Schizosaccharomyces pombe: one gene and its partners. The gene in region 1 interacts genetically with each later gene. Each region holds a gene or a part of one and is shown on either strand. Other genes may lie near its edges.

The links.
Region 2: of rpt2 (region 1) and arc3, extra expression of one rescues a mutant of the other (dosage rescue), as found in Schizosaccharomyces pombe (one study listed by BioGRID).
Region 3: of rpt2 (region 1) and sum1, extra expression of one rescues a mutant of the other (dosage rescue), as found in Schizosaccharomyces pombe (one study listed by BioGRID).
Region 4: of rpt2 (region 1) and rpn502, extra expression of one rescues a mutant of the other (dosage rescue), as found in Schizosaccharomyces pombe (one study listed by BioGRID).

The regions. Positions count from the first base shown.
Region 1 is NC_003423.3:1,194,581-1,202,559, forward strand, and holds rpt2 (19S proteasome base subcomplex ATPase subunit Rpt2), read right to left. Parts: upstream 4,849-7,979; 5' UTR 4,800-4,848; coding exon 4,797-4,799; exon of another isoform or gene 4,796-4,796; intron 4,662-4,795; coding exon 3,318-4,661; 3' UTR 3,198-3,317; downstream 1-3,197. Other genes in the region: ubiquitin protein ligase E3 component mlo2, read left to right, coding at 1-763; SPOM_SPBC4.06 (acid phosphatase), read left to right, coding at 1,434-2,822; aspartate aminotransferase Maa1, read left to right, coding at 6,081-7,394. UniProt on the Schizosaccharomyces pombe protein: The 26S proteasome is involved in the ATP-dependent degradation of ubiquitinated proteins. The regulatory (or ATPase) complex confers ATP dependency and substrate specificity to the 26S complex.
Region 2 is NC_003423.3:3,109,205-3,116,694, forward strand, and holds arc3 (ARP2/3 actin-organizing complex subunit Arc21), read right to left. Parts: upstream 3,034-7,490; 5' UTR 3,001-3,033; coding exon 2,995-3,000; exon of another isoform or gene 2,949-2,994; coding exon 2,849-2,948; exon of another isoform or gene 2,769-2,848; coding exon 2,493-2,768; exon of another isoform or gene 2,397-2,492; coding exon 2,254-2,396; 3' UTR 1,996-2,253; downstream 1-1,995. Other genes in the region: SPOM_SPBC1778.07 (carnosine N-methyltransferase), read left to right, coding at 757-1,258, 1,376-1,995; SPOM_SPBC1778.09 (GTPase-activating protein), read left to right, coding at 3,520-4,764; pdk1 (serine/threonine protein kinase Ppk21/Pdk1), read right to left, coding at 5,257-6,190, 6,241-6,411, 6,475-6,584, 6,639-6,875, 6,979-7,182. UniProt on the Schizosaccharomyces pombe protein: Functions as a component of the Arp2/3 complex which is involved in regulation of actin polymerization and together with an activating nucleation-promoting factor (NPF) mediates the formation of branched actin networks.
Region 3 is NC_003424.3:5,355,593-5,363,681, reverse strand, and holds sum1 (translation initiation factor eIF3i), read right to left. Parts: upstream 4,759-8,089; 5' UTR 4,727-4,758; coding exon 4,664-4,726; exon of another isoform or gene 4,609-4,663; coding exon 4,488-4,608; exon of another isoform or gene 4,132-4,487; coding exon 3,329-4,131; 3' UTR 3,178-3,328; downstream 1-3,177. Other genes in the region: protein Csi2, read left to right, coding at 1-1,774; met8 (siroheme synthase), read left to right, coding at 2,145-2,179, 2,351-3,110; rer2 (cis-prenyltransferase), read left to right, coding at 5,283-5,489, 5,602-5,861, 5,908-6,124, 6,180-6,290; F-box/WD repeat protein Pop2, read right to left, coding at 6,440-8,089. UniProt on the Schizosaccharomyces pombe protein: Component of the eukaryotic translation initiation factor 3 (eIF-3) complex, which is involved in protein synthesis of a specialized repertoire of mRNAs and, together with other initiation factors, stimulates binding of mRNA and methionyl-tRNAi to the 40S ribosome.
Region 4 is NC_003424.3:4,906,253-4,914,222, forward strand, and holds rpn502 (19S proteasome regulatory subunit Rpn502), read right to left. Parts: upstream 4,624-7,970; coding exon 4,540-4,623; intron 4,493-4,539; coding exon 3,245-4,492; 3' UTR 3,115-3,244; downstream 1-3,114. Other genes in the region: yip11 (SMN complex subunit Yip11/Gem2), read right to left, coding at 1-142; rsm22-cox11 tandem protein cox1102, read left to right, coding at 726-2,987; plasma membrane malate/succinate:proton symporter Mae1, read left to right, coding at 6,045-7,361. UniProt on the Schizosaccharomyces pombe protein: Acts as a regulatory subunit of the 26S proteasome which is involved in the ATP-dependent degradation of ubiquitinated proteins. Required for proper proteasome assembly.

The DNA of each region.
Region 1 (7,979 bases):
TGTGGACCTATTCAATAAACGACATTTTCGATGTGATTGTGGCACCACAAGAACCCACTCCATACCTTGTAATTTACGGAAATCCGTTGATGAATGTGGCTCAGAAAATGATTATAATCATAATTTCGAAGGGCGATTTTGCATATGTGATACGGTGTATAATCCAGAGACAGAGGAAGGAACTATGTTTCAATGCATCCTTTGCGAAGATTGGTTTCACGAAAAGTGTCTGCAGAAAACTAATAAAGGAATTGCAATCCCAGATGCTGAGACTTTTGAATGGTTGGTGTGTTCAGAATGTTCAGAAAAATACCGCGATCATCTTTTAAACCAGAAGCATGAAAGCATAGCTGGTACAGAACGAGCGCCTCTATTTCTTTCAGAAAACTTTAGGGAAAATTTGTGCCCTTGTGAATCTTGCATCAGTTTGCGTAATTTGGAGATGCCAATGTTGGTGGCAGAAGAACCTATTTACGAACCTCCTGAGGATTCTGAGGATGGAATCAGTGAGATGAATGAGGATCCCAGTGAATCTGGAGAAATGATTGAGCAAGTCATATCTAGCACAATGAATGATGTCCTTCGTATTTTGGACAGACTTCCTCGTGTACAAGCTAACGAAAGCGTTTATGCGTATAATCGCTTAAAATCTGAGCTAACGGACTTCCTCACTCCATTTGCTCGTGAAAATAGGGTTGTCACCAAGGAAGATATATCAAATTTTTTCTTGGAGCGATCTCGAATCAGTAAAAATTTACGGTAGCGTTAATAACTTTTTTGAATTCCCTTCTTTTTTGGCGTATAATTTAACGTCAAAACATGTAGGTTATACTTAATCTGGTGATGCTTTTTGTGAAACGCTGTTTATACTGGTGAAACCAGAGATATTTTCTATGTGCTTATGGTTAAACGTAATCATTTCTCTATCAAAAATGGTTTAATTGATTTTCTTAACAGAGATGGTTAATTTGAGAGGCTTACTGGGGCTTGTTGGTATACATGATTTTAATGATGATGACAAATTTGTATGTATATTTGAACAATAATTAATATATTGAACTTCTAGCTTTCTTGTCTCTCCTATTTTAACTGCACTCATTAAAATTTTTAAACCTATCTATAGTTTTGGTGGTTGCGTCTTTTATCTTTTATTTTTGATTGAGAAAGCTAAAGAGAAACCCTGTCTGGGTATTTTTTTTTTGTTATATCTCATAATGACTTTCATTTTAATTTTTTCCTAACAGTTTTTTAAGATTGAATTAACTTTATATTTTATTGTTTTCTTTTCATAAACAAAACTAATTTTCAAATAGTGTCGTTTCGTTAATATTCAGTAATTCATATTTTATATGAGCTTTGCGATGATGTTCAAGCATTGAGACCTTAGTTGACAGCAGCTCTTATCCAGCATCATCAACCACTTCCTAGCCGCCATGTCTCAAATGTCTTCAGCTTCTGTTAAATTCCCGGATTCAGTTCCCGGAGTCGATTATCCAAAACAGCTGCAACTGAAATATTTACAAGTCATATTTCGACATGGTGAACGTGCTCCCGTGAAGGAAAGACTTGGTTCCGCCGGTATCCCTAAGGATTGGAAGCTTTGTAATAATGCAAGGAGGTTTTTTGCGCAAATTAAAGGGGAAAAGGAATGGTCTGTGTTGGGTTTTGAAAGGAAGGTTGAGTCACCAGTTGACACGTCTCTTGCAGCACCAACTTCAGACAATTCCCCAAGTGGTGTTTGCATTCATGGTGAATTGACTGATTTTGGGCGTGTTACTACCAGAACACTTGGTGAGTATCTTCGAGAACGTTATGTCAAACAATTGAAATTCTTACCTGATGAATTGAATAACTACGCTGATGTTTATATGCGTGCGACTCCAATGGTGCGAGCCTTGGAGTCTTTAGAACATGTTTTTTCCGGATTGTATCCTGAGTCAAAGCGTAAGATGGGTTTACCTGTCATTTTTACGAGAAATTGGTCAGACGAAAACCTACTTCCTAATGAAAACAACTGTCCTCGACTTGTGCAACTATATGAAGAATTTGCAGAACGAGCTGCTAAGCTTTACGATCCCTTACTTGCAGGCCGTGCCTCTGAAATGATGAGTCAATTCATGAATGGTCAGCCTGTTAGAGTTGTTTCAAGCCATCCTCGTCTCAGTGGTTTGCTTGATACTATTAACGCTGCCATTGGTAGCCATGTCGACTTCAATCCCAACCTAAGAGATGAACAATGGTTACGCGATGCCGAAACTGCTGTTGTAGAAGAATGGTTTGGCGGTTATAAGGTTTCTAAGTTGATGCGTCAATTAGGTGCTGGAAGCTTGTTAAATGATTTAAGCATGAGAATGGAGAACTTCGTGGTCGCTGAAAAGAATGGTTCACCCTATCATCGTTTGGCCCTCTATGGCGCACATGATGTTACAATAGCTGCCATTTTAGCATCTTTGGACGCATTTGACTATCGCTGGCCACCCTTTACATCACATCTTGAAATGGAACTATTCGAAGATACATCAAGCAAATCCGATTCCCAAAATCAAAGCGGCGATAATAAGACGACAGATTTGAAGTTGTTTTCCGATGAGTCTACAGATGCCAGCAATAGTGCTATCGTTGCTGCGTCTAATTCTGCTAGAGATATGTCTGATTGGTATGTCCGAATTACCTACAATTCAACCCCTGTAGTGATGGGTGCATGTCGAGGTCAAGGATACAAAGGCAATGATACGATCTGTCCTCTTTCTATATTTAAGGATACAGTCCGTGCATTAAAGCCTGTTGAATATCACACTATGTGTAAACCGGTGAAAAAGTAATTATTTGATTGATTAGTTTACGTCTTTTGTGTATTATAAAGGCGTTTTGTTGCACACGTTAGAATTAAATTTCTTAATATAATCAGAAAACTGTGTCACTGAAATTGTGAATGCGATCGATTGAAGAAAATAAAAAAAAAGAGGTATCGGAGAGGTATTTTCTATGGACACGTTTTGTTTGCTTTGCTTATTTTACGCTCTTTTTTTTAAAAAATCCAAAATTTAAACCGACAAGGAATGCACGAAGTTAATAAAATACGTATGATGATATAATAAATTTTATGGACATCTATAGTTACTCTATAAAACTTAATGATAACTTAATAATCATGCATACAATACTTCTCTACAGGATTAAATAATAATAGTGAAGATGGAAATACAGATATTCGTAGAAACTAAACAGGAACTGGAAATTATTTAGTCAATGGCAAGTATGGATAAAAAGAAGTATTGCCATTATGCGAGTAAAACTAGTCATAACCAAAGTTGGACTTAGATATAAAGACCACCAGCAGGTCCACCTTCGTCCTTCGTTTTTAAAACCTTTTCACGAGCTTGCCGAAAGTCGTCCATAACAACTCGCATTCGGCGTTCACGCAGAGCAAGCAAACCAGCTTCAGAAACGATTGCTTTAATTTCTGCACCAGATAAATCATCTTTGCATTGAATTAACTCTTCTAAATTAACATCCTCGCCCAAATTCATCTTGGAAGTGTGAATGGTAAAAATTTTACGTTTCGTAGCTTCATCAGGATTCTCGAAAAGAATTTTGCGGTCAATACGACCTGGACGAATAAGAGCCGGATCAAGATCGCTGATACGGTTAGTAGCCATAATAACCTTAATATCACGCTGACTCGTATCGAATCCATCCAACTGATTGAGTAACTCAAGCATAGTACGTTGAATTTCTCGTTCAGCACCCGACTGGGCATCGTAACGCTTTGTACCTATAGCATCAATTTCATCAATAAAAACAATAGAGGGCGAATGTTCTTCGGCAGCATTAAATAATTGTCTCACAAGACGGGGACCATCACCTAAATATTTTTGAATAAGTTCAGAACCAACGACACGCAAGAACGTAGCAGAAGTTTGATTAGCAACAGCTTTCGCTAGTAAAGTTTTACCAGTACCGGGAGCACCATATAAAATGACACCTTTAGGGGGTTTTATGCCCATTTCCTCATAGAGTTCAGGATGGGTAAGAGGAAGCTCTACAGCCTCTTTGATCTCTTGAATTTGAGATTCAAGACCACCAATATCGGCATAACTTTCTGTAGGTGCTTTGTCGAGTTTCATAACATTAATCATTGGATCGGTATCATCAAGAAGTAAGCCTACTATACTCATGGCTTTGTGATGGAGAAGTACACTGCAACCAGGCTCTAACATGTCTTTATCGACAAATGACATGATGGAAACATAGTACTCTGGTCCAGCTGTGGAAACGATGGCATGATCGTCGTCTATAATTTCCTCTAAAGTTCCTACAGACATTGGAGTACCACGAATTTCATCTACACGATTGCGTTCTTCCTGAGTTCGTTCATCCTGTGGCTTAAGACGTTCCTGGTTTTGCACATACTCTTCTTCCATAAGCAAATGATCGTGGATTCTTTGCATTTTTAACAACCTTAAACGACAACGAGTCGTTGGGATAACAGTAGGTAGTTTTGCCGATGCATCAGGACCACTTTGAGCCTTCTTCTTACGACGACCAGTTCGAGTGGGAACTGGAGGTTCGTATTTGGGCTTATCTTTCTTTTGGTCTTTTTTATTGTCGCCGTTGGCACCATCGCCGAAATTAGAAAAATTCCCAGATTGTGCTTGTCCCTATAGGAGAGTTAGGATTAAATATTAAAACATGAAAAGAATGTGATAGAGTGAAAACAAGACTATTCAGCGATAGATGAAAAAATTACATTTAATTCAGTCTTGTTTTCAGCCTCAAAATACTCAAATACTTACCATTTTTTGGATCGATACTCTCAGTGAAAGTGATCTGGTATTGGTAATATCTAGCTTCACTCGTTTTCCACCACGACACTATGCAAGCAACCGGTGGCTCAAGGCACTCTAACATATTGCGTAACATAGTATTGCGATATTGTAATTTTTGAATAGTGTATGGTAAAAACACATCCTAATTTTCTTGAGTTGTTTACATTTCGAACACGAAAATGTATCTACTGTTACCAACGCGTGAATCAACCATTCCATTTCAAGAGACCTCACTTTAAGTAAATTTTCCTCAATATAAAGTGTTGTAGAAGTAATAATGGTTTAAAAAAGGTTAAACAATTGCCATCGATTTTTATTAAAAGGAGTACGGATCTCTTTTCGTGCATTCGTCGTGTTTCTTGTTAGAACATAGACTTTGCTAAAGTGATTTAACCTTGCATCTATCTTTTACTTAGGAATCATTGCTAAAGAATATTTATCCCAATTCAAACAACACACATTCCTCTCAAAATTACATAGCATAAAATTATATAAGCTATAAAGTATTTTACTAGGTGTCTACGGCCATACCTAGGCGAAAACACCAGTTCCCGTCCGATCACTGCAGTTAAGCGTCTGAGGGCCTCGTTAGTACTATGGTTGGAGACAACATGGGAATCCGGGGTGCTGTAGGCTTCATTTCGTTTTTTTTCTTAATAAAAGTCCTCCATATGAATAGAATTATTGTTCTATAACTTACTTCTGCAACCTTTTACAGCAACAACAGTGAAAGCTATAGAAGCAGCTACTAAAGACAGTCTGATGACTTAAACAGTGTTCGAAGGTCTAAATTGACTTATTCAAGTTATGATTATTGAATGACTTCTTGTTATTGAAAAATATTTTCTACAAGTCTAACAGCTATTTTACAATTTTTATTGTTGTTAATGTTAATTTATTAACTACCTTAATTACTTACGATAAATATTGGTAATTAACGAGTTACTGTTTACTAGTTGCTAAACTACGTTGCGATTACAAAACTATAGCTTTCGCTATGCTACTTTAATGTTTTTTCGGAACAGCTCTACAAGTGAACGATAACGAAAGAAACAATAAACGTCGTTATCTAATTTTGACATCTTACAGCTTCGGATTATGTTATCGATCGGTAAGCAGATACATTGAACCACGTGGTTTTCTCATGATAAGAACGTATATATATTAGCAGGATTCGATTGATTGCGAGCCTGTGAAGAGCCTTTAACCAATCTCCCAGAAATAACTTTGGGAAGAATATTGATTTCGACGATGTTGGCCAGGAATTTGCGTTGTTTGCATCCAAATACATTTGCATCGTTAAAAACCAACGTTTCCTACCATGGAGTAAAATGCTTGGCAAGTCAGAGCAAGCGTGGATTCAAGGTTTGGGCAGATGTACCTATGGGACCACCGGATCCCATCTTTGGTATTACAGAGGCCTATAAAAAGGATGGAGATGTTAAGAAAATGAACTTGGGTGCTGGTACATATCGTGATGATGCCGGAAAGCCTTATGTTCTGCCCAGTGTTCGTCAGGCAGAAACTGAGCTGTTGAGTCAGAAACTCGACAAAGAATATGCACCCATCACAGGAATTCCCAGTTTCCGTGTGCAAGCAACAAAATTGGCTTATGGCGATGTTTACGAGTCTATAAAGGATAGGCTGGTTTCTGCTCAATCCATTAGTGGTACCGGTGCCTTGTGTATAGCAGCTAATTTCCTTGCTTCATTTTATCCATCAAAGACTATTTACGTATCTGACCCTACTTGGGGAAATCACAAGAATGTATTTTCTCGAGCTGGCTTGACCGTTAAGTCCTACAAGTATTATGATCCTGCTACTCGTGGGTTGGACATTAAAGGCATGTTGTCCGATTTAACTTCAGCTCCTGATGGCTCTATTATATTATTGCATGCTTGTGCTCACAATCCAACTGGTGTAGATCCTACGAAAGCTCAGTGGGATGATATCCTCAAAACAATGCAAAAGAAAAACCATTTTGCTCTTTTAGACATGGCTTACCAAGGATTTGCCAGTGGTGATTTTGCTCGTGATGCTTATGCCACTCGTCTGTTCGCCTCCAGCAATGTCCCCATGTTACTCTGCCAATCCTTTGCTAAAAACATGGGTCTATATGGTGAACGTGCTGGCTGCTTTAGCATTTTAGCCAACGATGCTGAGGAAGCCGCTCGTATCGAAAGCCAAACTAAGATTCTCATTCGTGCTTTGTATTCCAACCCTCCCGTCAATGGGGCCAGAATTGCCAACCATATATTGAGCAACCCTGCACTTCGTGAACAGTGGGCTGGTGAAGTTGTAGGCATGTCCGAACGTCTTAAGAGTATGCGTAAGGCTCTTCGCAACATCCTTGAAAAGGACCTTAAGAATAAACACAGCTGGAAGCATATCACTGACCAAATTGGTATGTTTTGTTATACTGGTTTAAATCCCCAGCAAGTTGATGTTTTGGCTAAACAGTATCACATTTACCTCACTAAGAATGGTCGTATTAGCATCTCCGGTCTCAACACTTCCAATGTAAGATACTTTGCCGAAGCTATCAATGCCGTTACTTCGAATTAGTCGGTGGTGAAATTGAAGTGAAAAGATTTTGGTTTATTATATAGACAGATGGATTTTTGATTGATTCTTTGTTCTGAATCTTTTTTGTTCTTCTTTCTGTTTTTATTTTATTATACATACATATAGACAGACTCAAACACACATATACATATACATATATTTGTATACATTTAATTTTTTTTCCCTTTTCATTTCTCCGAAACCATGAGAAGACGTATTTAGTAACCTAATTGTCTCGGCTTATTTTTTTTTCCTTATACTTTCGCTTTGAGGTGAATAACTACAGTTTTGCTTCCAAATAGATGGCATGGTCTGTTTTTAAATGAATGGATTTTGGATCTAAAAATTGACTAAATATTGATTCGTTTTCGAAATAGTATGCTTTTCGTTTGTCTATCTTCATTTATTTCCATACTTTGTTTCTGTAGATGTTTGTCTAGTAGTTCACTTACTTCATACTTTAGATTGCCTCTAGTTAACCCAAAATTTGGCACATTTTACTATCCTCTCTCATATACATATTAAATCCCACTTTTTCGTTGGAAAACTATCAATTATCTTTCCCATTGCATTTGTCATATGTTG
Region 2 (7,490 bases), 1.9 Mb from region 1:
CAAAATTTCTACTTACTATGATAGTAGATCCTTTGTAAAACGTTGCAGAAAGTTTTTCCGGCCGTGAAAATTCGTGTTTTTTTTCTTTTGTTCAAGGGTTTAGGTCACTGAAGCCAACAATTTTTGATACAATATAAGAAAAAGAAGTAATTCCCGCTTTTAACTGCGCAATAGGATAAAAGATTAGCCAGATGTCACAGGGTTAAACTTTTAACCTGACTACCTTTTCACGTGTATTTCCAGTCTCGTTTATAAGCTGCAATATAAATATTGTATGATATTACTGCGTGCACCAAGATTCTCTTATATTATTTTCTTATAATCTACAAAACTCACAATACTACTATAACGATGCTTCAGAAGATTAGCTGTTCCGGTATTGTTGAAGCATGGTGAATTTCCTTTGCGGCTGCTGTTGTAAAATATTGTCTGACAACTATCCAAATAAAACCTATGGGATTTTTGCAAAAGGCAAACACTATTTTCATAGAGGCACCGCGTTGCAGGGATTTTCAGCAGAGATGATTCAATATTGCAATCAAACACAGTAGATATAAACATAACTTGAAAAGCTAATGAAATACATAAAACATAATTATATTAACCATAATATTCTTAACTTATTGGTTTCTTCAACACTTCCAACTTCAATGAAGCAACAAGTTAGAGGTTTAACTTCTCCACAACGCCAAAATTGCGACTTAGATGATAAAAATATTAAAGTCTAGATAGAGCTCAGAAACATCAAAAAAAACTATGGAATATGATGAGGAAGAAGTAAAAGTTTTGAAAGAAGTTTTAAGCGCGTTCTTTTTGTACAGGCAATATGCTCATACAATAACACAACAGAAGAGAAAATCGATGAGCAGGTTGTCTTTTGAACACAAGGACTTACTCTTACAGGACTCTGACAACAATTTTTTAAAGCATCTTTCAAGGATTGATCAATGTATCGAGCAGAACAGCGTGCTTGCTGAAGCAATCGCTAACGCAGCCATTCCTGTGTTCTGCAGTGATTTCGATCAAAATGAGTTATTTCATGTCAATGTTGATATGATGCAAAAAGTTTCAAGCACTCTCAAGCAAATTGCGAGAGATTGGTCGACCGAATGTGTTGAGGAACGCCGTACTACATATGCTCCTTTCATCGAGGAACTAAATTCACTTTTCCCATCTGATTCTATAGACAGATCTAAAATTCGTGTACTTGTTCCAGGTTCCGGCTTAGGAAGATTGGCCTTTGATATAGCTGTGGAAGGTAGGTACACTTGATACTATCAATCAAAAATAGCATGATTTATTATTTATCTGATTACATGTTTTCTAACTTCTTTCTAAATTTGGATTTTTGGACATAGCTTCTAACATTTAATAGGCTTTGCATGCCAAGGAAATGAGTTCTCATATTTTATGCTTTTAACGTCGCATTTCATACTGAATTGCGTAAAGCAGGAAAATCAGTTTCTTGTGTATCCTTATATTCATTCATTTTCGAACCATGTCATGCGTGATGACCAGGTGCGTTCATTAAATATTCCTGATGCAGTTCCCTCTCAATATCTGCGGAATTCACAAAACTTTTCAATGGCAGCCGGGGATTTCCTGGAGGTATACGGCACCGAAGAAAGTCGTGATTCGTTTCAAGTAGTAGCTACCTGCTTCTTTATAGACACTACAAAAAACATACTGGACTATTTGGATACAATTAAAAACTGTTTGGTAGATGGAGGTTATTGGATAAATCTCGGGCCTTTATTGTATCATTTTGAGTCAGAAGGTACTTCTAATTCTAACAGTGATAGCCAGCAACAACCTTTCGTTGAATTGACTCTCGAGCAGCTGTTTTACGTGATGGATAGTATGGGATTTGAGGTTTTAAAGCACAATTCGGTCGACACGACTTATATGGGGGACAAACGAAGTATGCTTGAATGGATATACCATCCTCATTATTGGGTCTGCCGTTTGCAAAAATCAAAATTACGATTTCAATAAAAATTTTTGAACCAACATTGAATATTACGACTTTAATCATTCAAATATTCCTTTAGCATAATTAACAAAGCTAATTGATAACTTGTACATGAAAGTAAAGCGATTATTTTTGCATCTACTATCTACGTATAAAACTGCCTACATTAAATAAGCCATTCGTACGCTTCAAAAACTTTATAAGCCGCATTTGAAATAAAGGAAACGGAAAAACATAAAGGCTTTGAAATACAGTATGAGCCAAATTATTAATTAATAGACTCACAAAGCTTTGTTCATAAAACGTCTCTTGCTGAAGCAAGTCCACCACTTGCTGGGATGATCCTTTTCAGTTGCATATACATGGGACAAAAGACGATAAGCAAGTTCCTGACGAAATTGAGTAAGATATGTACGCATTATTTCTTTTTTTAATAGTTAGCAAATGAAAAAAAAAGCAAGAAAGCTATTAGCGGCACAAACATCTATATGTCTAATGCCACAGTTTGGGTGAATCTTACCAGCATCTTGAGGAGAAAGGGGAGGAGCATATAATGCATTCAAGGGAAAGCCAGCAGAGCCAGGAATAGAAAAATTCTCCAACGCTAAACTATTAAGTTGACGTTCAGCATCACGATAATTGAGTCCATTAACTCTTCCCAAGCACTCACTGATAAATAATGTTCCATAAATTAAAGTACGGTCTGCTGGTCCCTTAATCTCAAAATTGCGGAAGAAACAATTGGCGCGAAACAGCCCAATGCATTCATCAATAATATCCATTTGACTCTCATCAGCTGTATAAAAAATGTTAGAAAGTACTCTAATAACATTAAGAATAGTCTTTAAACAGAGTTGACAAATATCTGGAACATACCAGGATAAGCCGGTCCACGAAACTTGGTTTTCAACGGCAGCATTGCTATGTTTCCCGTGGTAGGGACGTCCGTAAGACTTAAGAAGGAGGAATGATAGGCCTTTCATAACATGTCAGCAACAAAAATTCAAAACTTTAGAACATACCGGCATATCTAATGTCTAGTGCTTATGATGTTGTTGGATAACTTGAGCACCTGCTGAATGTGCCGATAGGGAGCATTTCGTCAAGCATCAATAGTGATAAATTAGCTTTTCTTTAAACAAAATAGCGAAAAGCTATGTAATTACAGTAAAGCAATATAGCGTGTCGTTTTTTTGTTTTGTGATCGGGTCTCGGTCTCTACTTTATAACTAGTTTTCATCAATGGAAATGACATAGAGCCAATAAATTTGTAGCGAGAACCAAATTCATAAGCATTTGCACGAATGCATTTATTGCTTGAAAAATTATAAAAACGTCAAAAAAAGATTTTCATGTTTGGTTATTTTGATTTTGGGATCTAACGTACTGACTTATATGGGGATAGACGGTCTTTTGGGACCGTAAACATTACTACATCGGAAACAATTCCCCCCTGTTAAATCTTTCTGTGTTGGATATTTTAATACAGTTTAGTAGGTAATCTGTTTTCTCCAGAGTGACGGAATTGAGGATATATCTGAAAGAGCATGGAAAACCCTTCCCCAACTAGAACAACCAATTTGCAACGAATTCGGTCGTTGTACAGGTTACAAGAAGACAAGAATAATTTAAATATACCAGAACCTATTAATGGAAAAGTTCAAGAAATCGATACAAAAGAGTCATTGGAAAATGTGGATCGTTACGGAAACTATCGCTCAGACTTTAATGTTAATAATTTAGGGTTCTATAAAGTTAGTAAAGACCCAACATTAGATAAACCAAACCCTGCCAAACGTCTTGGCAATAAATTAATCGGCCATGATGACATGCTGAAGTACGTTGATGAAAGCATCTTCATGGTTGTTCCCGGCGAGTCGCATGACCGCAACGAAATATCAGCTAAAGAGCTTTCCCGTATTCAAAAATGGAAATCGATGTGTTCAATACACCTCGTTTCCGGTAATCAGCTCCATTCTTTTCGAAAAACTCGTAAGTTAATTTTACGTACATTTAAGGGGATTCCAGATTGTTGGCGATCTATTGCGTGGTGGTCCTTTCTTGTGGATTCTCTTCCTGATAAAAAACTGATTGACAAGTATTACCAATTGAACGAGCAGATTTGTGACTATGATGTTCAAATTGACCTAGATGTTCCCAGAACAGCTGCTACACATTTCTTATTCCGAAAACGCTACATTGGAGGGCAACGTTTACTATTTAGAGTTCTTCATGCTGTAGCTCTCTATATACCTCGTGTTGGATACGTTCAAGGAATGGCTTCTATTGCTGCGACCTTGCTCATTTACTATCCCGAAGAACAAGCATTTATAATGATGGTAAATTTATTGGAAAATAGAGGCATGGGGGACTTGTTTTCTTCCGGGTTTGATACACTTTTAAAGGCTTTTGACATGCTTAAGCATGAGTTAAGTTTTACACAATCAGGCAGACATCTGGCGGAAATTGGAGCAGAACCATCTGCTTTTGCTACACGTTGGTATCTCACTGTTTTTCATCAATGCGTGCCCTTCCATACTCAATTACGTATATGGGATCTCCTGTTTTTATTAGGTGGAAGCAAAGGTCAAACTGTCAGGTTATTGCAAGCCACTTCTCTTGCGGTTATACAAGGAATGTGGGACACGCTAATTGATGCAGACTTTGAAGTAGTAATGCAAGCTCTGTCAGGTGTTATTCCCATTCAAAACGATAACGCCCTGCTTGCTAGAATTCAATTATTTTGGGAAAAAATGCCTTCTGAAAATTCTTCTAAAAGTAAGAGAAACTGATATTTCTAACTCTTTTTTAATAGCTTTATTAATTGTGGCCCACATGATGTAACATATGTCAACAAGATGAGGATTGATATCACAGAGCTTAGCATAATGGGTCCTGAACATTTATCATTTTCTTTTTCTGTTTTAATTTGGAACGTTGATAAACATTATTTCCTTGATACCACAAAACTTTTATTGGTATCAAGAGTATGCGCTTTAAATCGATCCTATCTAACTCTCTCTTCTTACTAATATTATAATTTTAACATCTCACCAAAAGAAATGGAATTTTAACATAAAATTAATTCAAGTATATATATTATAAATACTATACATATATATGTATACATAATACCTCTCCATCTTGCGACTTCCTAGGTGCGTCGTAATTTCTAATTATGTATAGCTTAAATAGTTAAATATTACCAAAACACTGACGACAAATAATAAAATATAAAGAAGGTAGTAAATGGGTTGAAAAATCAAATAAAACAAGGTATGGGGTTACTCTTCCTCGTTCTCTTCTACATTCTCTTCTGAAGAACGAGATTGATGAGAAGACGCAACATCAGCAAACTTAAGGATTTTGTCTTTATACTTGGTGACATCCCCGGAACTGTCTTCTATTATCCAGGACTGGACCTTATCTTCAATCAAGAATCGCTTGGAACTATTTTCATCAAAAATCACTACAACACTGGAATCCTTCAAGTTCACCTCCATCTCGATAAAAAGTCTCTCATGTTTTCCTTTACAAACAAAAGCGCATCGACCAACATCAGTTAATAGCATAACCCTTTGCTTTCTTTTCAAAAACATTTTTGAGAGTCCAGATGGAAACTTATTACCCTCAGGTACACTTGGAATGGGTGATACGAAGACCGAGGTAGATTCAATGATCGACTCAGACGATGGAACCAACTTGTAATAAAGTCTGTCAACAGGCATCTGATGGCTTCGAAGTGAAGCATAGCCATAATGAGCAGTTGGAGCAGTGAAACGATTTACCGTAGGAAGCTCCTGACGTCGAGCAGTTTCCTGATGCTTTACAATGGATGCAGAAGCAAATGCCGCGGCAGCATTAGCAGCAGCTGCGGCTGTCACATTTGAGCGATAATAAGCAGGAGCATTAGGAATGGCTATGTTATAATTAGGCCGGAATGACTGCATAGGAGGAGGATCTTGAGTCCATAAATTGTCCCAAGTAATAGTAGCAAAAAAAGGAAATTGTTTTATTTGTTGGGTTGTAGATCGATCAGATGGCTGAATACGGAAAAGATGGCTAAACAAAGGAACGATATCAGGTGGTAAGAGCTTTGGAAGCTCATATTCCAGGCTCATTATCTTTTTGAAAATATTATTAGGATTGCTGCCATGAAAAGGAGGGGAACCAACAATCATTTGATAAACAACACACGCAAAAGCCCATAAATCGGAACTTAAATATTTGTCAGAAAAAAAATAGACTGGGATAATAGGTTTTCTTACGATTTTGAAACAACTTGTCTAGACAATAGTTCAGGAGCAACATATTCCGCAGTGCCAACAAAGGAGCTTGGAAAGGTAGTGTAATCAGGGCTATTTACATATTTAGGGGGTAGGATTTTGGCTGTGCCGAAATCGGTAATTTTTACATGCATATTTCCATCAAATAAAATGCTAAAAAATAGGTTAGAATTAGGAAAAGGAAACGAACATTTAATGACCACTACTCAAACATACTTTTCTGGCTTGAGATCTCTGTGAATTATACCGCAGGAGTGCATATACTCGATACTTGATAAAATCTCAGCAGCATAAAAGCGCACACAATTCTCATCAAGAAAACGATACTACCAAAGCTTAGTTAATAAAGGAAAAATGAATAGACTAATGAAAAAATATACCTTTTTGATGTATTGCAAAAGTTCACCATTGGGTGCAAGTTCAAGCACATAATAAAGTTTTAAATCATCCTGAAATGTATGGAAAAGACGAGAGATACCAGGAAACCCATTAAGTCTCATCATAGAATCTCTCTCTATATTCACATACTTAACCTTATTTTCCTTGACAATATATTTTTTATCAAGGACTTTGATAGCGTACTCCTTCCAACTCTTTTTATCAGTTGCTCTTCTCACCTAACGAATATTAGACAACTTATTCGTCAGTAATCGAAGGTCCATAGGTTAATCGACCTGCGGTTGAAAAACTTCTGAACTGAGAAGCAATGTATCAACTTACCTTTGAGAATGATCCATCTCCTATAATGTCACCAAAAACGTAATCCGCCGGAGATTTGATCGATCCTATATGACTTGTTCCTGGTACTACGTTGGAAGACTGAGGTTTTACCGGATTTCTTTCACCTCTAGCCTCGAAGTAATCGGGATCCGCATAATCCGGCAATGTACTTCGGCTAATGCGTTTATGCTCCAGATCCATCATTTATAAAAGAGGTTTTCATGAAAAATGAAGTTGTGTTTGAGTTACTTTACGTTTGCTGTTCGATTCCAACTGAAACACCGTGCATTTAATTGTGGAGTTGCTGGCCTTGGAGTTGTGTTCTGTGAAGGATGTAAACACTAAGTAGAGTACCCTATTTCTCCAATCCTCGTCATTATTACATAAATTTAAAACGTAGAATATGCCATGTAAACAATAAATTAAAGGTCGAATTGTCAAAGAAAAAATGCTCATTAAGCAGCTTGATAGCCTTATCATACCCATCAAAGTCTTACATCGCATTAATGATA
Region 3 (8,089 bases), on another chromosome or scaffold:
TGATTTTTTTGACATGGAACAGCTTTTGATAGCGAATGATGCATTAGTGCATCAGAATCACTCTACTCCCAATCATGCAAGCGACGAATTGTCTGTGAACGACCCTTCGCCTTTGAGCCGTGGCCTGCAGTCAGATGTCAACTCAAACATATCTAGAAATATCTCTAACACATTCTTTAAAAAGTCGATCTTTTTCTTCGTTTACTATTGTAAGCAAGCTTTAGAATTTATCAGCACTGTATTTTCCATCATAAAGTTTCTTTTGAACCGTCGAAAAGTTAGCTTTTTACTCTCATTTCTTTTGCTTTTCTCGTTGTTTTTACTAATACCTAATGATGGACGAGTAAATATTAAGTTTTTTTATAAGGATTTCGTAGACAGAATTCCTTTTCGGTTCATTCCTTCAAATTTTAATATAAGTTTTGGCAAACACTTGGAACAAGCGAAATCTCTGTTTAAATCCAAATTTGGTAATTCCTCTTCAACATATAATGAACGTGATTCTATAATGCCATTGCTAAAGCTACAGTCAAACCTTACAGAGGCAAAGACACTTCTTTATCAAAATCCAATTAGCCCTGAAGATGTTTTATTACATTTTTGGGATAGAAATTTAATGAGTACTTATGATCTTAAAATACAGGATATAAATGATTCTGTTAACCCTCTACTGAACACTTACCTAGATTTTATTGAAAAAGACATATACCTAGTGTCGCATCTGCCTGTTTCCGAAAAACACCCTGGGAACATCCCGATTTCATTAGTCAATAAGAGTGTTCAAGCCATTTGTTCTTTTGCCGAACATTACAATTTATTGCGAAATCCTTCGTATCGGGGCTTTCTGAGAATTAACAATGGAGAGTCTATTTTTAATTTACTTTGCATTGAAGATTTACACGAAAGTGTCAATCTTGATATTCTTTGTTTGAAAGATATATTACGGAACATTGCTCAAAGCTCTAAAGAAGCTATGTATATTGTAAAGCGACACAACTCATCACAGTCTTTTTATGGCAATAGATCGACCACCAATTTTTCAATCATAAACTCCGGTTTATATTTAAAAAAAGATGCTGCTAAAAATCTTTTGGCGAAGCAGTTTGATGCCACATATTCTTATTATCATAAAGACCTTGAGGAATCTGTTCATCAAAAACTCAATTCAAACTTAGAAAAAAGAGTTGAAAAATACATAAAACATTCTTGTTCCCAGAGAAATGTTGCTGATCACCCGGACTTTGCCTTGAAAGTTGTTGGTGCTGTCGTGGACTACGGATGGACATTTCCTAAGCCTAAATTTTCTGACATTTTAAGGGATTACTGGGGAAAAAAAGCAAATCTACCGACGGCTTTACTTGACACAAGCATCAATAGTAATTGGTGTAATTACGAAGATACTGTACAGGTTTCTGTGCGTTTAAATCGACCAATGTACGTGCGACATATTTCACTAATTTTTCCAATACATGGTGATGATTCTTATTTCCCGCGTGAAATCCAAATGTTTGGGCTTATCAATGATATCAATTATCAAATTTTAAGCAACATGAACAACTTGGTTTTGCTTGCCACGATTCCTGTTTCTTTGTCTTCGGTGTTCGAAGTAAATTATTACTATCTTCCAAAATTCTCGGACACACCTGGCCTTCTGGAAGAAGCTTATTTTAACACATTTGTGTTCAGGGCGTTTTCAAAAAATGAATCTTTGACGTCGCAAATTTGTTTATACCACATTGGTATACATGGTAAGGAGATTAATGAAGAATTTTAACGTCTTATTTAAATACGACTAAGTAGTCTAAGAGCCACTTTCATCTATTACTTTTGTATGGATATTTCTTGTCAATGAAAAAAATATATAAATTTAGCATATTAATTAATCTATGATGTATAGGAATATGCTTAGTTGGTGCTATGAAATAGTTTCAAAAATTTGCACGTCCTCGGGATTTTATTCACAAGGTAGTTTTAATTCACTGGAAAATTTAGGTCTTAAATAAACGAATAGTATACGCGTAATAGGATTCCCAACTATTAACCCGTATAGGGAAGCAGATACTGAATGTCGAATTGTAATTGGCGATACTATAATTCTCAAGTATACAGGAACACCTACACTTGGTTAAGATAAAATTTGAATAATGGCTTCAAAATATCAGTCTGTGCAGCCTGGTGGGTAAGTCAAGCATCTTTATGAAGTTACAAGGCTCTATAAATCATTTTCAGCTTTTTAGTATCTTAACTTTCATCTACACAGAATTGAAAAATTAGCAAAGCATACAAAATGAAAGCTAGCAAAGTTTTTTGATGTATCTCAAGGTAATTTTTAGGCTAATCTAAGCTTTAGATCATTAATTATTGCTTGGCGTGCACAAGGTAAAAAAGTATTAATTGTTGGAGGTGGCGTTGTGGCAGCTGGGCGTATATTGCATGTTTTGAATGCGGATGCCCATGTTATCGTTGTAAGTCCAAAAGCTGGTCTTTGTAAAGAAGTGGCTTGGAGAATACAGGAGAAGCAAGTTGAATGGCGAGACAGGGGATTTCTAGTCGAAGATTTGTCTGACGATGTAAACATGGTACTTACAGCCATAGATGATCCCAGCTTGTCTTCCGAAATTTATAAGTTATGCAAAAGCAAAAAAATCCCGGTCAATGCGGCGGATATTCCACCTGAATGTGATTTCTACTTTGGGTCTGAAATCCGTAACGGCCCTCTACAAATTATGGTTAGCACCAATGGTAAAGGTCCAAAACTTGCCAGTTTAATACGAAAAAAAATCGAAAGTTCAATCAATCCAGCTACTGGTATGGCATTGGAAAAAACTGGCCTTTTACGACAAAAATTACGAGACATTGTTCCCGAACCTGAAAACAGTCGCAAAAGAATGAGATGGATGATTGAGATTTGCGAACTGTGGTCTTTGGAGGAACTTGCCATGCTCGACGAAAATCTCATCAACCGACTTTTGGGATACTTCCCAAAAAAAACACCTAGTTATCGAGAAATAACGACTCCAGCCTACAGCAAGATAGACAACTACATATGGTTTGGAGCAATTATAATTTCTGGGGCTGTTCTCCTCAAACATGTTTCAAAAGCTCGTTAAAAGAAGCGTTTGATAAGTTAGTTGCTTTACGGAATATGACAATTACATTACTTTTCACTTTAAAACATTTGAATTTTGAATGGAATTTATTAAAAAACTCTTGTACTCATAGAAGGTTATTTTTCATATAATGCTCCCTAAACGAAAATGATACATCTTTGGAAAAAAGTTCCGTTGTCCATTACTATACTATCAACAGTTTTTTGAATAAAATTAACCTACAATGTATACTTGAAGTCAAAGTAGTTTTTATCGAAGAAGTGCACCCGAACATAACCATCTTCTCCACCACTAGCATAACCGGTTCCTTTGGGATGGACAGCTATTGTGTTGATAGGACCGAAATGACCCTTAACGCGGCCTAACTCTTCTTCTAAAATCGCATGATAAAAACGTGCTTCAAATTTACCCTGTCTAGCAGCAGTAGTAGTAACATCACGGGCTTCTTGACCACCTCCTAAAATAACGAAGTCTTGGACAGGAGTAAAACTAGAAGTATTAAGAGGCGTATCAGTAAGGTATGTTTTGATGACTTCAAAAGAATCAACATCAATAGCTTTAGCAGTCGTATCCTTGCAAGAAGTGATGAAGTAAGTACGATCAGGATAAAACTGAAGATCAGTAATAGTAGAACCAGAATTATGAACTTGTTTAGATTCAACGAATTCTCCGGTTATAGCATCGTATCTGGAAACGGAGCCATCTTCATGACCAGTAAAGAGAAACTTGCTCAAGTAAGACCATCCAGCGACCGTTGCTTTAGATTCACGAGTAGTAATAACGTAAAGGGGGGTTTCAGCAGCGGCATCGCTTTCCGAAATAGGAACACGGAAAACAGTGACGGTACCAGCATAACCCATACGTTCCTCGGTAACAGCAAGAATACGGGTATCATCTTCGTTGAACTCAACACGTTTGACAGCAGTAGGAAATTCCCACTTGTACAACTGCTTTCCTGTTTTAACATCCCAAAGACGCATGGTATTGTCAGCGGCTCCACTAACCATTAAAGTGCTACTTTCTGTTTCAGTTAGTAACCATTGGAAAAGGAACAGATGATCTAGTTGGATTTGAGGCATCAAGAAGAAGGAAAAGGATTTAAAAGAAGTTTAAATGCTTTCCACGAGGAAGTGAAGTGAGGTAAACGTAGCATTAATATAAGTAAAGGAGATGCACCATGCATATTTAACTTTAAGTACTACGCCAACTCAGAATCGTGGATCACGAGTATAACCATCTGCAATCGGACGACTAATAAAAAAAATACATTTATTAGAGTCATGATATGTTTCATTATTCGTGTTTCCTTATACTTCCATAATCCGTATACCTTTAGATGTCTTAATCCAACATACATCACCACCAATTTTCACGTACTATTAATATCACAAGTCCAAATTGCACCAGTATGACCCTCATATGTACCTAGGCGTTCACCATTGTGTGAAAACCAGACATTAATCACTTTATCCTTGGCACATGAGAATAATAAATCACCCTACACACAAAAATTAGTAAATTTTCCACATATAATGGACGGTTATTAAACCTACATCGTGATTATATTTTATTTGAGTCAAAGGACGCTCATGACCCTGTAAAATGATAGGCCTCATCTTTTGAACAGGAAAGTGCTGGTAGAGGGTTTGAGCGAAAAGTCTTTAGTTGTAATATTTTGATTCTAATTAGCGTAACTTAAGGATGGTATTAAAAATAAGGAGGCTTAACGACACTCTTAAATGAACTGGCTTCATTTCTGAGACACTTGCGTTAGACTAGTTAGACCCAAAGGTCGCACGTCTCACTTTGAAAACAGTATTTTGTGGTTTTGTTTGAATTTTGTCTGTCTTACTTATTTGTACAAAAAATAATATTTCTTTCGTGATTTTTAAAAAAAAATACAAAAGCGTTTGGTCTTAAACTAGCGTCTCTTTGTTCCATTCGTTTACGATTGAAAGTATATTTCCTTAGCTAAAAATCCTTTTCTAGCGTGCTTGGTAATTATACTTATAAAACATATCTAGAACCGGATAACCTGAGTGTTTTATAGAAGCGTCAAAAACATCTAATCGTTTTTTGAAAATAATTGTTTATCAAGATAATTATTTCTCTTTGATATTTAGCGTGCATTTATAAAGGAAAAGAAAAGAATTGACAAAATATCTTGACAATATGGGTAATTTATCAGGCTGGTTTATTCACTGTCCTCCATTACAATGGACACTTGATCAATTAGAAACGATGATGATAAATACAATTAAACGTGGCAAAGTACCACAACACATAGCCTTTGTAATGGATGGCAATCGACGGTGGGCTCGTCAAAGAAGGATGGAAACTATCGAGGGTCATAGCTCAGGTTTTGAAGCTTTAAAATCTGTAAGTTTAAAGAACATTAATAGAAGGTTAAACGTACCGTTTCTCCATGTTTTGCGCATTGGTATCCGTCTACGTTCTGCACAATTTGGTACATTAACTAACCCTGCGTAAGCTATTAAAAGTGTGTCTGAAGTTAGGAGTTAAAGAAGTATCGGCTTTCACATTCTCCATTGAAAATTTTAAGCGATCTAAATATGAAGTTGATATGTTAATGGAGATTGCAAAAAACAGCTTAACGCAAATTACTGCTCATGGTGATTTGGTTGATCAGTATGGGATCCGTATTCGCATTGTTGGCGATCTTAGCAGGTTGCAACCTGACGTTTTAGAAACTGCTCTAAAGGCTGTGGAAATTACAAAACATAACACAAAGTATGTGAAATTTTTCAAATTTTTATTTTGCTAATTGACATCTTAGGGCAACATTAAATGTTTGCTTTCCATACACTTCTCGACATGAAATTGCTACTTCTGTGCAATCAATAGTAAAAATGGCAGAAGATGGTACAATCACTCCAGAAGATATAGATGAAGATATATTTGAAAAAAACCTATTGATAAAAGATAGTCTTCCTTTAGACTTGTTGATTCGCACTAGCGGTGTGGAGCGTCTATCTGATTTTATGTTATGGCAGGTAAGTAAAAATTCTCCTAATTTTCTAGTCAAAGATATTCAACTAATTTTATCAGTGTCACAAAAATACGGAGATAAAATTCATCGATTTCTACTGGCCGGATTTTTCTATCTGGAAGTTTTTCCCAATGTTAATTCAATACCAGTTACAAAACCAACCAGCATAATTTATTCAATCCTTCGTTACTTATTTACTTTTGATAGGCTTTGGCTGTTAATTTTACATTGTATACATTTAATATGTGTTAGTAGCTGATGTAAATAGTTAGACACTACTCTAATTATGTCTTCTTAAATATTGTTAAAATGAAACTTTCTACGGTCTTGATCCGGAAAAATTAATAACTTCCAAATATGCTTGATCATCACGCTGCACTGCAGCCACACAACGCATAGCATCAAAATCGACATGCCATATTTTTGTGAGGTCTGTTAATAGAAAACGTAACAGCTTTCCAGTCCTAACATCCCATAACTTTACAGAACCATCATTACCACTAATAATTTTGTGTTCATCTGACACAAAGCTACTAATGTAGCCTGAATTAGACGGCAAAACCATTAATGGTTTCCCAGTATTCAAATCCCATATTCTAATTGTGGAGTCAGCAGAACCTGATATCAACCTATTCTGGAATACATTAAGAAGCGTAACAAAGGCATCATGGCCTTCAAGCACATATTTACAAGTCCCTGTCGATAAATCCCAAACCCTAATGGACTTATCCATGCTACCGCTTATGCAAATATTCCTTTCTGGTTCATATAAAACACTATATATACGAAGACTATGACCCCGCAGATGGTAAAGACATTCCCCTGTTGAAACTCTCCAAATGCGAATTGAAGAATCATAACTCCCACTCACAAGTATATCACCATAGCCGGATATAGTTCGTACAGAGTCTGTATGTCCTATCAAAGTATGTACAAAATACGGGTTCTTCTCCCAACGGTCAATAGAGTTTGTATTATCTGGAAGATAAGGAGGATCCGTGTTTTTTGGAAGCTTCCAAACCCGAAGTGTATGATCCCGAGAGCCGCTGACAATGTACGGTTGATCTGGTTCAACAATTTCAACTCCATGGCGAATAAGACGACTCGGAACTAAGATCTCTAAGCATCTGATGATGGAAATATGTCCCCTAAATATGTGCGTACATTTAGCTTTCTCTATGTTCCAAACGCGAACAGTTTTATCGATCGAACCAGATACAAGTGTATTCTCATGTATTTTGACAGCCCAAACACCTTCTTTATGACCCTCTAATCGAGCTTCTAAAACACCGGTAATAGCATTATGAATTTGAATTGTTCCAGATCCCGAAGTGGTGATTATTCTGTCTTTATGAAGTAGTAAAGAAGTTATCATAAAGTTTGGAACATGAATGGGAAAAGATAGATGACTTGGAGGTATCGAAGGAAATAACCATCGTTTTCTATTGAGAAAATGTCTTTTGAAAATTTCCGGAAAATAGTCATCTGAGATTTGGTCGTTGTGCAAAAAAGGTGGACGATTTAAGTTTGGATTAGCATATTTCCAGTCATTTTCATTGATTTGAAAGCCAAATAAACTAAACATGTGTTTCCAGTATGAAGTATGCACATCAAGTATTCTATTCCAAGTAGGCGAAACAAGACGGCAAGAAAGAAAAGAATGTATATCCAGATTTAATAATATAGACTGAACAATGGAAAAAGGAAGATTTGAAAGTATATCTTTTTTTAGAAGCGGCTCGCATTCATTCAATAATAAACGCATCGATTGCCGATTGCACGAACGGAGTAGTTGAAAAAACGCATAAGATTGAATTCCTTCTGGAAGATCCTCAAAAGTTTGAACAATTGACTGTAAGTTTAAATCTTCAAGATCCTCAGAGATAGGTTTACTACCAGGTGAAACAGTGTTTGATGTGTCGACTTTCGGAGAAGGAGGGAAATTGTCGGAGTTAGATGAAATGCTATT
Region 4 (7,970 bases), on another chromosome or scaffold:
CATCAAGTGGTATATCATATTCCAAAGATTCTGAAGCACTATTGTTGTCGATTTGTGGAAAAGCGCTGCGTTGATTTGTTTCCTCATCTAATGATCCTGAAGTCTGATATTGTAAAGGATTTCTTTTTCTTTTCGAGGGCATTTTGAATTATTATTGTACAATTGCAAACTTCTCATATAAACCAAATGGAAAAGAATTACCGAATTTTCATGAAAATACTCAAGGAATGTAGGCTGTTTTTTTCCGGCAACTTTTCGTTTGTAGTTAGTTAACAAGGAATGTTTCGTAAATCGAAGATTACCCTAGTATAATAGAATGGTAAGGTTAAAGAGGTATCTGTAGAACTATCAATGTGAAGAGTCTATCTTGATCAAGTGTAATGCTAAAACTAATTTTAGCTATTTCTTGATAATTCCTTTACTATCATAAAATTTATTACTTGTTCTTATTTTCAAAGAAGTTCAAAGTTTTGCATTTTTTTGAAGTGTATAAGAAGCTAAAACTGGGAGAATATTCACTCAGACAGAATTGCCTATCCTTGAACTAATTTAATAAACATAAAACATATAGATATGTAGGAAATTGTACTATTCATTCTTCTGTCAACGCAAGTAACACCATCTGCGGCCACTTAATCAGGCACTTACTCTACACAATATACAGATCAGTGCTTTATCCCCAAATCCCATTGTTCATTGGTGAATTGGTGTTTTGAGCAGCACATATGCCCATTCTAACATGCAGATATAAAATTCTGTTTCTTTATAATTTACGGAATTGCTTTACTTTTCAAAATCAGCGATGTCTCATACCATATGGAACAACCACTACCATTAGGTGGTATAATGCAAATTTTCAAGCTGTTCAAAACAACTTTTCTGATTATAAAAACGAATTGATCTCTTCACATCGTCCAGAAGCTTCCAGTTTACTCGACTTTTTGGTAAAGGATCAAAAGAAAAGTGGTGATATTAGTTTGCATACAAAATTTAATCTATATGTGGACGATTTATTGAAAAAGAGCGAAAAAGGACAAATTAAAAAATTTATTAATGATATTAAAAAAGATTTGGCTACGGAATCTCAGCTTCCATTGTCTGCGCCATTCAAAGATGAATCTACTCGGACTATGACAGATCCCCAAGTTTTAGCTTATATTCATCAGTCTATGCCGTATCAATATGCTTCTCTATACAGCGTATTGACTGACTTGAAAATTGTAAACAGTGATGTGTCTTGCAAGTCTCAACATATACTGGATTGCGGTAAAGGTCCAGGTATTGGTGCTCTAGCTAGTTATTCAGTCTTTCCCACACCTAATTCAGTTTCAATTGTTGAGGAGAACCCATTTTTGAAAAAAATCATATATGATATTCACCATAACATTTACCCGTCAACTTCGCCGAATCCAACTAGCCCTGTTACGCTTAACCGTCTACCATTGGGTAAAAAGGATTCATACACTCTAGTTATTGCATCTAACAAGCTTCTTGAAATGAAATCGGAGAAAGAACTCTTTGATTATCTTCGTTCGCTTTGGAGTCTCGTGTCAAATGATGGTGGTCTTTTGGTGCTCTGCGAGCGAGGCACAAAGCGTGGCTTTAGTTTGATTCAAAGAGCTAGAACATTTCTATTGCAAAAAAGTAAAAATACTTCTGATAAACAATTCAATGCCCATATTGTAGCACCCTGTCCCCACGATGGTCGCTGCCCCATTGATATAGAAAATGGGGTAAGAGCAAATATTTGTTCTTTCAAACAACATTTTTTCCTATCCCCATTTTCCCGTCTATATGTCCCTCGTTCTCATCGTCGATCCTCGGATCGCTCTCATTACAGTTATGTTGTTATTCAAAAGGGTATAACTAGACCGCTTAATAATACCACACAAAGGTTCAAGAATGATGAGGATTTACTAGAAAATGTGAATGTTACATCTCCAACTCTTAAAAACTGGCCACGTATAATTCGACCTCCACTGAAGCGAGATGGACATGTCATAATTGATGTCTGTGATAGCGATGCTCGGCTTAGAAGGAATATTGTTCCTAAATCACAAGGTAAACTAGCTTATCGATTAGCTAGGAAAAGTGCTTGGGGCGACTTGTTTCCGTTAGAGGGCAAAGTTCAAAGTACTTCTCCAAGTAGTAAAATTACTAAACATTTAAAAGATGCTTCTTCTACCTATTCAATCAATCCCCCCTCATATAATAAACCCAAAGTTGAAAGAAATACAACTGCAGATCCTATTTTTGTCGGAAAACGATTCTATTCGACTAATCGTCATAAAGCTTTTTCTCGATTTGCAGACTTTAATTCACATCGTTTCCCTTGTATTTTTACTTCATTTAGCTGTTACAATTGCATCTCTGGTACCAGGAATATTTCACGACAATATTCGAGAGATAAATTCCACTATAATCAAAGGACCACTATCTATTATCTGGTTGCAATTTCCATTTTTGCGTTGGGCTTGACATATGCGGCTGTACCTTTATATCGTCTTTTCTGTTCGAAAACAGGTTATGGTGGCACTCTTAATACCGACCAAAGTCGTATGAATGCAGAAAGAATGGTTCCTCGTAAAGACAATAAAAGAATCAGAGTTACTTTCAATGGCGACGTTGCAGGAAACCTTAGCTGGAAGCTTTGGCCCCAGCAGCGTGAAATATATGTTCTTCCAGGCGAGACTGCTCTAGGGTTTTATACTGCTGAAAATACGTCCGACCATGACATAGTAGGAGTTGCAACTTATAATATAGTACCAGGTCAAGCCGCTGTTTACTTCTCAAAGGTTGCATGCTTTTGCTTTGAAGAGCAAAAGCTAGATGCTCATGAAAAAGTAGACTTGCCTGTGTTTTTCTTTATAGATCCAGAATTTGCTGATGATCCAAATATGAAGGATATTGACGATATTCTTCTAAGCTATACTTTTTTTGAGGCCAGATATGATACCAATGGCAATCTTTTAACTAAACTCAACTGAAATAAAAATTAAGGGACTACATATTGAGTGAACTACAATAATTTATTTAAAATAATTCATCAAGTTAACCTTCTAGTTACGAGACAAATAACAACGAAAATCACTACAAACTTACTAGAATAACTTTCTCCGAGGTTGCAATTCGACATTAAAACTATTGTATTCTCGTAAAAAAAGTTGAAGGCCTTTGAACCAATAGTATATTATTTAAATGACAAAGTCATGAAAGTAACGAAATGAAATAGAGACGGAACAATTTATTTGGCTACCGCCTGTTGAATAGAATTCATCATTTCTTCTTTTATAATAAGCTGTCTTACCTTTTCCAATTTTCCAAGAAGTTCAGTAATATTGGAACCCCACTCATTCAATTGCTCTTGCACATTTTGAGATTTCTTGAATGAAATGACTTGAGCTGGGCGATCAATCTTGGCATAGAAATGATGCTTTGCAATAAGGTCGCAAAGAAATTGTTCTGTTTCGGAAGGACTCATATCCAACAACACTCCTAGACGACTGCAATGAATGCGGGAATAATAGTTTGCGACTACACGAATATTGTGTTCGATGACTCGCTTACGAAGTTCAGACCAACGTTTCTCACCTTTTTCGTCATTTTCAGCAAAAACAGGATTACTCCTTAAAGCACTTCCATAGATTTCGGCAATTTTGGGCCATCTCATTAGTTCATTGACAATAAAGCACTTAACCAATTGTTGGAGTAAAGGAAGAGAATTTAGTTTATGGTCAGCATTAATTCGGTGAAGAAGATCTGCCTGCTCGTTATCATAAGGAGTAAGCAAGGCAAAGCAAACGACATTTTCTAATATTTCTTTCCATTTCTCGGGGTCCTCTTGAACCACGGCGGTGTCATAAACTGCTCGATAATATTTACAAACATCAAGATATGCATCGTCGTGCAAACCAATTCGGATTTTTTGCTCATAATACTTAAGTTTTAAAGACTGGACGTCTTCCTTTTCAAAAAACTTAACATTTATTTTCTTCGTGTAAGTAGATGCCATGTAGTAATCAGACCTCAGTAAGAATAATCTAACTTGATCCAAAATGAATGCAACTTTTTCCTTCAAATCAAAAGATCCGTAAGTCTCTACTGGTTCATTACACAAGATCTCCTGGGCAGATTTGATGTCACCTTGCTCTTCTTTAATCTGGGAAAGCAGTTGTGTAAGACGTGCCCTTTCTACTTCCACATATATCTTTCCATCAGTAATAGTACGCAATGTTTCAATCAAATTAATTTTTGTTTTTAAATCGTCAATTCCAGGAAGATAGGTCATTACATGTTGGACTAAACTTGTCATCGATTGTTTCAGTTGGCCATGCTTTTTAAAGAGACTAACCAACTGTTCGTTTAAGCCTTGGAAATCACCAGCTCGAAAGAGCAAATCAGCAATGTATATTAATACTTTCGTATTCGTGCTGGTGTCAGAAGCCTGACGAACTTGCTTCTCAAAAATCAAAAGCTTCTCGAGGTTCGCATCCTACAATTACAAGTTAGAGATTAGTCAAAATTTTGATTTTTACGTACGATGTCTATGGTATTAAGGTTATTTAAACTTTTTTGTAACTCTGCAAACTTCTCTGAGTAATCAACTTCCGGTTTCTGTTCCATTTCGATATGTGGGTTGTTGGAGAGTGTACAATTGAGACTAATATTGCGAGTTGATTTCTTATGATTACAGAGTTGTACCGCACGCTCGCAAAATACTTTAGTTGTCAGCAATACTACTCTACGCTATGATACACTACGTTGCGTATCACTATATGTCATATGTTGGAATACTAGCTAAGATCCGTTTATTGATAATCACGGGTAACGATCCGTCTATATACATAGATACCCGTTGATAACGCGAATGAGCCGTTCGGCTTCTTAGTTCGTAGATCCGAGATTTCGAACTGCTTTTAGGCAGTAAATGATAGCTTTTCCATCTAACTGACTCTAAAATCACACTCCCTTGTTACTGGACCCACATTAGCGATAGCGGATACAAAAATGCAGGGAATTGAAAGACCGAGTTCGTGGCCTATTGAGAGAAAATGGAACTTCCCTTCCCAAAAGCACCTTTGACCTGCAGAAAAATTAGGCCAATTATTATGATGCCAAGTCTGGAAAAACACCACAGGTTCGGTATATTATTATTGTCAATATTGTTATACTGAGTTAGTTTTTTTTTTTTTTTTTTTTTTTTTTTTTTTTTTTAATACCAAAGTTTCGTATGCCTATAGCATTAATCTAGATCTAGCTTGCGTCATATAAGGACCAGATTTACTCTTGACCGACTTCATAGCAGCATAATTAGCATCTCCTCGGCATAAAAGAAAAAATTTTGCTATCTCCACTCTCACAAGGTTAGCGAAGGTTTGTGCATTTGACAGCAGGTTGGTTAAATTCGTTAAGCTTCCAAGAGATATAAATATAGTGGCTCGAATTTGACTTATCCAGTCAGTCATTCATTGCTGAAGTTGTTGGGTTGGCCAGGTCCATCGGTAAGTTTTTGTTTTGTAGGATGACTGTATAGTTTGGCTTTTTGTTGTGTAGTGCCAGTTTGTTTGCGATGAGGATCAACGTTGCAATCTGTTGGTAGAAAGTTGCCCCTCGAAAATCTTGGAAATTTGGATTTGTATGCATCTTTTCTTGTTGATTTCTAAGTTGATCACTATTTGTTTGTTCTATTTTTGTTTTCTTTTACTTGTTTGCTACACAAAATAAGCTTATTTGTTGCTGCACTAGACTTTTTGTTTGATTTCTCATCCTACTTCTGTATCGGCAGTTTGCCTCATTTACTAAGACTAGCAACAGCCAGTCATTCATTTTTTACACTCTCTATCATTTTTTATTTTCATCACGATAACTAACATGTGCGATTAGACTCACAGATAAATTGCTAGCAATTGGTTGTCTCTTTCCTTCCTCCGTCTTTTCCTTTTTGTTCCTTTTTCTCCTTATATTATATTATATTATATTCATTCTTCATTTTCTCTCTTGGCCACTATTTTTTTTTTTAATTCCCCTTTATCTCTCGATTCGACATGGGTGAACTCAAGGAAATCTTGAAACAGAGGTATCATGAGTTGCTTGACTGGAATGTCAAAGCCCCTCATGTCCCTCTCAGTCAACGACTGAAGCATTTTACATGGTCTTGGTTTGCATGTACTATGGCAACTGGTGGTGTTGGTTTGATTATTGGTTCTTTCCCCTTTCGATTTTATGGTCTTAATACAATTGGCAAAATTGTTTATATTCTTCAAATCTTTTTGTTTTCTCTCTTTGGATCATGCATGCTTTTTCGCTTTATTAAATATCCTTCAACTATCAAGGATTCCTGGAACCATCATTTGGAAAAGCTTTTCATTGCTACTTGTCTTCTTTCAATATCCACGTTCATCGACATGCTTGCCATATACGCCTATCCTGATACCGGCGAGTGGATGGTGTGGGTCATTCGAATCCTTTATTACATTTACGTTGCAGTATCCTTTATATACTGCGTAATGGCTTTTTTTACAATTTTCAACAACCATGTATATACCATTGAAACCGCATCTCCTGCTTGGATTCTTCCTATTTTCCCTCCTATGATTTGTGGTGTCATTGCTGGCGCCGTCAATTCTACACAACCCGCTCATCAATTAAAAAATATGGTTATCTTTGGTATCCTCTTTCAAGGACTTGGTTTTTGGGTTTATCTTTTACTGTTTGCCGTCAATGTCTTACGGTTTTTTACTGTAGGCCTGGCAAAACCCCAAGATCGACCTGGTATGTTTATGTTTGTCGGTCCACCAGCTTTCTCAGGTTTGGCCTTAATTAATATTGCGCGTGGTGCTATGGGCAGTCGCCCTTATATTTTTGTTGGCGCCAACTCATCCGAGTATCTTGGTTTTGTTTCTACCTTTATGGCTATTTTTATTTGGGGTCTTGCTGCTTGGTGTTACTGTCTCGCCATGGTTAGCTTTTTAGCGGGCTTTTTCACTCGAGCCCCTCTCAAGTTTGCTTGTGGATGGTTTGCATTCATTTTCCCCAACGTGGGTTTTGTTAATTGTACCATTGAGATAGGTAAAATGATAGATTCCAAAGCTTTCCAAATGTTTGGACATATCATTGGGGTCATTCTTTGTATTCAGTGGATCCTCCTAATGTATTTAATGGTCCGTGCGTTTCTCGTCAATGATCTTTGCTATCCTGGCAAAGACGAAGATGCCCATCCTCCACCAAAACCAAATACAGGTGTCCTTAACCCTACCTTCCCACCTGAAAAAGCACCTGCATCTTTGGAAAAAGTCGATACACATGTCACATCTACTGGTGGTGAATCGGATCCTCCTAGTAGTGAACATGAAAGCGTTTAAGCTTGTATGCTTTTCCTTAATTTTTCTATAAATCTGTGTGCCCTGCTCTTAATACCATTATAGATTAATCATTTTGAATCATTCTGTATCTTTATTGTACTACTGGTACTAATTTTGCTTAGACATTTTTGCTCCTTCTTCTTCTTTTTGTTTAAATTATACATACCAAAATTTTGGACTTTGAATAATGGTAATTTTTGGTTGTCGTAGTGTTAAATATGTATGCGTCTTGCATATGAATCACGACGAAGGAATCAATTAAAAAATCAATCCTGTACATAATAAAATTAAGTTTATTTATTTCATTTTATCGGATTTAATCGTCTAAAATTTATATCTTGGTCATCCAAGCTTATATCTCTTTCTACTCTTATCAGCAGCACACTTTAGTTATGGTTATTTGAAAACTTGTGTATAAATTCCTGGTTATAGAGAAAATGAGTATAAGACAACAAAAAAAAGCCTAGTCGGCATGCGACATGTCTCAAACATATCTTTGGCGTATTGATGAGCATCTTACACACTCACTATACGTAACAATAAAATTAAGAGGGATTTCATGACAAAAGAATACTAGAGTGAAACCACTATGACTAAAATAAAAACTGG